Linked DNA regions of Cricetulus griseus. Each later gene encodes a partner of the first gene's protein in a complex. Links are inferred from orthologs where the notes say so. Each region holds a gene or a part of one and is shown in the gene's direction. Other genes may lie near its edges.

Region 1 (3,500 bases):
GCAGCTCACAGGAAGCTCTCAGATGACCTGGGCTGACACTGATGGATTAGTAAGCAGCAGGGCAATTGAAAATAAAAGGCCTTTGGAGCCCCAAGGACCGGAAACCAGGATTAACTGGGAGTGAGGAGGGAAAGACTCATTGCCAAGGGTAGAGATGAACCAAAAGCTGAAAATGTGTTTGATCAGGCAGAGGGAGACAAGGTGTCAGATTGTTTCCTTTGGGCTGTAAGGTCTGTGAGGACAGGAATACGTTGGGCTCTTTGTTGCTCTGCTGCCTTTTCTAGAGCCATGCTCCACACACACAGCAGGAGGTGTTTTTGAATTGGTTGAGGTGAAGAGCAGATGGGATTAGTCTGCAGAAGTGTTGTCAGCAAGCTGTGGAAGGAAGACCTTGACATGGGACTTGCCAGGCATCGCTGTTACATCTCCTGTCGGGTGCCCTGGAGACCTGTGGTGGCTCAGGGTTTCCATCCATGTCACATCCTCAGGTGCACCCAACACTGCTGAGCTCAAGATCTGCCGAGTAAACCGGAACTCCGGGAGCTGCCTTGGTGGGGATGAGATCTTCTTGCTGTGTGACAAAGTGCAGAAAGGTACACACTGGGCTATGTGTGCCACGAGGGGCGGGGTGAGGCTGAGAGGGTGATGAGTGCCAGGGACCTCAGTGGCTTCAGGAGAAACAGGGTGACGTCTCAGGGGAAAAGCATCAGGAGTTGGGGACCAAGGTCCATTGGAATTCAGATACTAACCCTTACTACTCTGTCTCCTGCAGAAGACATCGAGGTGTATTTCACTGGACCAGGCTGGGAAGCACGAGGCTCCTTTTCTCAAGCTGATGTGCACCGGCAAGTGGCTATTGTGTTCCGGACTCCTCCATACGCTGACCCCAGCCTGCAGGCTCCTGTGCGTGTCTCCATGCAGCTTCGGCGGCCTTCTGATCGGGAGCTCAGTGAGCCCATGGAGTTCCAGTACCTGCCAGACACAGGTGTGATGCTAGGGAGAGCAGTACCAAGGCTTCTGTACCCCAGCTGGGAAAAAGACCAGGATGTCTGGGACAAGCACATAGGATTTATACATACTGTAGTTCATTGCACATAGTATTTCTGTCAAAGACCACATATGCCATGGTGGTCATATAACACTGCGCTATCTAGCTGGGCAGTGGTGGCTCACCCTTAATCCCAGCTCTCAGAAGGCAGAGGGAAATGAATCTATGAGTTCGAGCCCAGCCTGGTCTATAGAGCTAGCTCCAGAATAGCCAAGGCTACACAGAGAAACTCTGACCTGGGGGAGGGGGGTGAGGAACTACACTGTCTAATGACATAGGTGTCTTAGTTTGTGTAAGTAATCTTTGAGATGCTCATATAAACAAAGAGAGAGAGAGAGAGAGAGAGAGAGAGAGAGAGAGAGAGAGAGAGAAAGAAAACCAGGGCTGGAGAGGTGTCTCAGAGGTTAAGGGCACTCTTTGCTCTTCCAGAGGTCCTGAGTTCAATTCCCAGCACCCACACACATGGTTGCTCACAATCATCTATAGTTGGATCTGGTGCCCTCTTCTGGCATAGGTCCTATGTGCAGATATAGCACTCATATTCATAAAATAAATCTTTAAATTTCAAGAAAAATAAAAAAAAAGGTAAAACCAGCACCTGGGAGGCAGAGGCTAGCAGATGGATCTCTGTGAGTTCTAGGCCAGCCTGGTCTACAAAGTGAGTGCCAGGATAGGCTCCAAAGCTACACAGAGAAACACTGTCTTGAAAAACAAAACAAACCAAACAAAAAAGATGAAAAAGATGCTCATATAATAAGCTGGGTACTCCAGCAAACGTGTGTAGCTAGCGTGCAGATGGTGTGGAAATAGACGGACCTCTAGAGCTATTTGGCCAGCCAGCCTTGCTCCAGATTCAGTGAGAGGTACTGTCTCAAAAAATGAAGTGGGCTGGACATGGCAGTGCACACCTTTAATCCCAGCACTTGGGAGGCAAAGACAGGCAGATCTCTGTGAGTTCAAGGCCAGCCTGGTCTACCTTACAAGTTCCAGACCAGCCAGGGCTATATAGTGAGATCGTATCTCAAATAATTAAGGTGGATGGGGCTGGAAAGATGGCTCAGTGGTTAAGAGCACTTGCTGTTCTTCCAGAGAACCCAGGCTTCATTCCCAGCACCCTGTCTAGTTCCACGGGATCTGACACTATTCTGAACTCTGCAGGCACTGGGCATGTACAAGGTGCTCACACATATAAGCAGGCATTGAGCCTTGGCTTTGACATACTCATACACACATCTGTACACACATGCATGCACATTCATACACCTACATGAACACACACACACAGACACACACACAGAGGTAATAATAAAATGGATATTCATCCAATGACAAATTTGCCTAGCAACATGTCTTAAGATGTGTCCCCATTGTTTTTTTTTTTTGAGGGGGGTGTTTGAGACAGGGTTTCTCTGTGGCTTTGGAGGCTGTCCTGGAACTAGCACTTGTAGACTAGGCTGGTCTCGAACTCAGAGATCCACCTGCCTCTGCCTCCTGAGTGCTGGGATTAGAGGCGTGCGCCACCGCCACCACCACCACTGCCAGGCTGTGCCCCCATTGTCAAGCAACATATAATTATAGTCATAATCTATTTCTTCCCTAACTCTGACATCCAACTTATTCAGCTCTGTCTACTGTATCTACCCTTCCTATGAGTGGTCCTTTTAACCTCTCATCGCCTTTTTTGTTTTTGTTTTTGTTTTTTTTTTTTTTTTTTTTTTTGGTTTTTTGAGACAGTGTTTCTGCTCTGAAGACCAGGCTGGCCTCACAGAGATCCGCCTGCCTCTGCCTCCTGAGTGCTGGGATTAAAGGCCTGTGCCACCAATGCCTGGCGTATCATCACCTTTTTAGGGGAATGATTTAACAGAATTCACTAGCAGTAGAGGCAGTGGCACACCTAAACCAAGGTCACTTAGCTTTGTGGACTTTGTGCCACCTTGTGTCTCTTATCACTTTTGGGGGACCAAAATAGTTCCATTATAGAATGTTTTGAGGTCCAGCCTCTGGTTTCACGGAAAGCTCCGGCCCACTATTGTATTGCTAATGCTAGCAGGTCTGCTATTGTTTACAATAGCCTTAGTATAGAATGCCTCCTAGTTTGCATCTCTATGGGCCTAAGCATCTGAATAGGCCTGCATCTGGGCCTAGGTGCTAGGTGTAAGGTACAAGTGAGGACAGACAGGAGCCATCCGACCAGAGAGGAGAACAGAAGGACAGCAGTGGTCTCCTCGTGGCCATGGAAGCATGGTTAAGAAACAGCCAAAAAGATGGTAAATAGAGAAGAGACTCCAGTTTTACAACATGGAACTGAGAGCTCTCTAAAGATGACAAGATGCCTGTGTTTGGTCTTTATCGAGGCTGGGTTGCTAGGAGTTTCCAGGTCCACACATCCCCACTCAGGCCGAACCTCATGGCTTAAGGCTGAGACATGCCAGGTCACCACAGTCACTAATCC
Region 2 (4,036 bases), about 120 Mb from region 1:
TACATTATATAATATATATATGTATATCAGGTCTTCCTGTGTGTGTTTTCCCAATTGGTGGTTGTCTCCTCTTTGGTCAAGGTGAACTTTTAATGGAGTTCATTACTTTCCTCTCTGTACAAAGTTAAGAGCCTAGTTTTGTGTGTTCTGGTGGCTGATAAGAGATTTTGAGATGACAAAATGCAAAACAAAAACCCTTATTAATATAGAAAGTTAACTGTGCAGAAAAACTAATAAAGAAATGAAGTGTATGAGTGTGTCATGTTTCCTGGCTGTCTCCGGCTCGGATGGGTGGAGGGTAGCAATTGTTTCTGTATATCTTTATACCTTCAGTGCCTGTTACACACATTTTGGTGGGAGTGAGGATTGCATGGTCTCATGCTGTAGCCCAGGCTGGCCTTGAACACTCATTGAAATCCTGCTTCAGCTTCCTGGGTGTTAGGATTATGTAGGCCCCCCTTGCCTAGCTTTTTGTTTTTCCTTTGGGGTGATGGGGTTTGAACCAGTGTGGTCACACACGATACTCAAGGTTCTACCATGAGGCCATATACCCTGATTGAGACACGATTTACCGATCCTGACACTAGTTCTCGGTGTCACAGATGAGGAAATAGCTTAGCCAGTAAGACCTCTTCAAAGCAAGGACACACCACTTTTTTTTGCTTGGTTTTTGTTGCTTTGAGACAGTTTCACCCTAGCCTAGGCTGGACAGGAACTCCCAGTAATACTTCTGTCTCAGCCTCCCAAGTACTAGAATTACACTGCCAACTTATCCACGTTCATTCACCTGATATTGACTCCTTCCAATGTATGAAAAGTAAAATGAAAGAGCCTATCATCTCTATACAGAAAATGAAAAACGAGTAAATTAGCAACTGTGGATATGTGTGTCTGTTAGATGTAGAAAACATTCAGGCCACTTCAAACCCACGTGCAAACTATCTAATCGAACGAAAGTCGGTGAAATAGATGGTTATCGCTAACAGGTGGTCGGTCACTACCGCGCAGCAGCTAAGACTCCTGGAAGAAACCGGATTTTGTTCCTGCACCCCGCTCTCGGGTACTCGCCCAGAACTAGGCTGGAGGCAGCACAGACCTGGCCTGTGTGCTCGCGGACGCGCAAAGGAGATGTCAAGCCGCTGGAGGTCCTGCCAGAGACGCTTTGCTGCGGGAGGCCGCGGCGTGGGTGCCTGGACCCGAGCTCCGCCCCGTCCGCTAGCATCCAGCGTCGCCGGAAGCGCCGGGAGGACGCGGCGCCTCCCGGCATGGCGGCTCCGGCCAAGCGTGCGCGGGTGAGTGGCGGCTCGCCCCTCACCACGCCCTGCCCGGTCCGGAGAGTTACCCGCGCCCCCCTGTCGCCCCCGGCTCCCGGGCGCGGCCATGCCACTTGTTTCTCCCCGCTGGCGGCGTGGCCCCGCGGTGGCCAGTCCGACGGCGACGCGGTAGCCGGCTTCCTGCGCTGGTGCGCGGGAGTGGGGCTGGAGCTGAGTCCCAAGGTGGCGGTGAGCCGGCAGGGCACGGTGGCCGGCTACGGCATGGTGGCGCGGGAGAGCGTGCAGCCGGGGGAGCTGCTGTTCGCAGTGCCGCGCTCGGCGCTTCTGTCTCCCCACACCTGCTCCATCAGCGGCCTGCTGGAGCGAGGTGGGTAGGGGGGCGGAGGGCTGGCTCCGGGGCTGGCTGCCGGATTGCGCCTGGGCGGGCGTTCACCGGGTGTCTTCCCTAGAGCGAGGCGCGCTGCAGAGCCTGTCGGGGTGGGTGCCGCTGCTGCTGGCGCTGCTCCACGAGCTGCAGGCCCCAGCCTCACCCTGGAGCCCCTACTTCGCGCTCTGGCCAGAGCTCGGGCGTTTGGAGCATCCCATGTTTTGGTGAGAGCCAAGGGAAGGGCTGGGGAGAACCCGTTTCAACCACTTTGCTCAGGGGCAGGCTGTGAAGGGCCCTGGATGGGTTATCCTTGCAGGCCAGAGGAGGAACGGCGGCGCCTCCTACAGGGTACAGGTGTCCCGGAGGCCGTGGAGAAGGATTTGGTGAACATCACTAGCGAATACCATTCCATCGTCCTGCCCTTCATGGAGGCTCACTCCGATCTCTTCAGCCCCACTGTTCGCTCACTGGAACTCTATCGTCAGCTCGTGGCTCTTGTGATGGCTTATAGGTCAGTGTTAAAAGCCTGGAGGAGCAGACCCTCATCTTTAGAACATTGTTGAGGGGGAAGAACATTGAACTCCAGGCCCCTCACCCAAGAGAGGGCCTTAGTTGAATTCTCTCTGTGGCAGCTTTCAAGAACCACTGGAGGAAGAGGATGATGATGAAAAGGAGCCCAACTCCCCCTTGATGGTGCCTGCTGCAGATTTACTAAACCACATAGCCAATCACAATGCCAATCTTGAGTACTCTGCAGTGAGTGAACCCCTATGTGCATAATGAGTCAAGTCATTGTGCTCCATTTTCCTACTTAACATTAAAATGAATGGGTCAGATTAGCTACTCTCCTGTATACTTTGGTATCAAGTGACAGTAAGAGTGTGGATACACGTGGAGTTGGTGGCACACACCTTTAATCCCAGCTCTCGGGAGGCAGAGGCAGGCAGATCTCTTGTGAGTTCGAGGCCAGCCTGGTCTCCAGAGCGAGTGCCAGGATAGGCCCCAAAGCTACACAGAGAAACCCTGTCTCGAAAAAAAAAAAAAAAAAAAAAAAGTGTGGACACGTCTTAAGGCCACCAAAAAAACTGCCTTGCTCTGCCATGTCACGTGAGTCCCTGTGGACAGCATCATGGAACAGCACTGGTTAAGTACTTTTCAAGAGGTGGTGTGTCCATGGGCCAGAGGTATAGTAAGACTCCAGTTTAGTGTCAGTTCTGCATGAAAAATTTTAAGACACGTGTGTGACTAAAAATTAGCAAATTATCTGGGCCTGGTGGCTTATACCTGCAATCTCAAGAGGCGGAGGCAGAATTGAAGGTTCCAGGTCCACATAACTTCCAGCCATATATAAACATTTAAGACATTGTCCCCAGAGGTCAGCAGATAAAACTTTTCACTTATTCCTACTTATGTTTTGATTTCTGGGTGTGCATCACCAGGCCTGATCTTAACATTTTTTAAAGGGCAGATGACTAGGCGCAGATGCACCTGATACACTAAGCTGACTTTGGGCTTAGTTGGCTTTACCCTTCTATAATACGGAGTTTAACAGACAGTGGTATGTAGCCTCAGCCTGTAAGTTTAATAGGCTCTTCTAAAAGGGAAGTAATCTTCATAGGCTGGTGGGAGCTAAGGTGTGGCCTATTTTTCACTTTTATCCCAGGATTATCTCCGGATGGTAGCTACTCAGCCCATTCCCAAAGGTCATGAGATTTTCAACACCTATGGGCAAATGGCTAATTGGCAACTGATTCATATGTATGGTTTTGCTGAGCCCTATCCTGACAACACAGACGACACAGCTGACATTCAGATGGTGACAGTCCGGGATGCTGCACTGCAGGGTGCGTCTGCCCATCCAGGTTCCATTTTACTCTGCTGACAGCACTTGGCTCGCTGGAGTCGATGTCTGCTCATCTCCATCCATTACTTCACAGGAACAAAGGATGAAGCTGAAAAGCTGCTCTTGTGTGAACGCTGGGATTTCCTATGCAAACTGGAGATGGTAGGGGAAGAAGGAGCCTTTGTGATTGGTCATGAGGAGGTGTTGACTGAAGAGGAGCTAGCCACCACACTCAAGGTACAGGGCTGCTGATATTTAGAATAAAGCCAAACTAAAGACAAAGGTGACTCAGTTTTCCTACAGTGGTGTATCTGTCCTGAAGCTCACAGATAGTAGTGCTTCCTAACTGAAGGGCTCCATGTTCCTTCTAGGTACTGTGCATGCCTGCTGAGGAATTCAGAAACTATAAAGAACAGGCTGGACAGGGAGAGGAAGAAAGAGAAGAGGTCAGTCTGGCAATCGCAAATATCCCCAAGCTCCAAGCATCGTGGAAGCGGCTTCTTCGAGACAGTGTTCTACTGACCCTTCAGACCTATGCCACCGACTTAAAAA

Evidence for each region.
Region 2: the proteins of Rela (region 1) and Setd6 are in contact, whole or in part, in a crystal structure (PDB 3RC0), measured with the Homo sapiens proteins. The link is inferred for Cricetulus griseus from reciprocal best matches to the Homo sapiens genes RELA and SETD6. Residues at the interface, in NP_068810.3 of Homo sapiens: Glu307, Thr308, Phe309, Lys310, Ser311, Ile312; in NP_001153777.1 of Homo sapiens: Ser120, Trp122, Val220, Met221, Ala222, Tyr223, Ser224, Phe225, Gln226, Glu227, Pro228, Pro238, Asn239, Ser240, Pro241, Asn259, Leu260, Tyr262, Asn283, Thr284, Tyr285, Met288, Met296, Tyr297.

Annotation. Positions count from the first base shown.
Region 1 is NC_048596.1:53,704,338-53,707,837, reverse strand, and holds part of Rela (transcription factor p65), read left to right. Parts: intron 1-488; coding exon 489-593; intron 594-772; coding exon 773-985; intron 986-3,500. UniProt on the Homo sapiens protein: NF-kappa-B is a pleiotropic transcription factor present in almost all cell types and is the endpoint of a series of signal transduction events that are initiated by a vast array of stimuli related to many biological processes such as inflammation, immunity, differentiation, cell growth, tumorigenesis and apoptosis.
Region 2 is NC_048596.1:171,902,358-171,906,393, forward strand, and holds the start of Setd6 (N-lysine methyltransferase SETD6), read left to right. Parts: upstream 1-1,236; 5' UTR 1,237-1,265; coding exon 1,266-1,641; intron 1,642-1,723; coding exon 1,724-1,865; intron 1,866-1,957; coding exon 1,958-2,152; intron 2,153-2,273; coding exon 2,274-2,397; intron 2,398-3,304; coding exon 3,305-3,485; intron 3,486-3,578; coding exon 3,579-3,721; intron 3,722-3,855; coding exon 3,856-4,036. UniProt on the Homo sapiens protein: Protein-lysine N-methyltransferase. Monomethylates 'Lys-310' of the RELA subunit of NF-kappa-B complex, leading to down-regulation of NF-kappa-B transcription factor activity. Monomethylates 'Lys-8' of H2AZ (H2AZK8me1).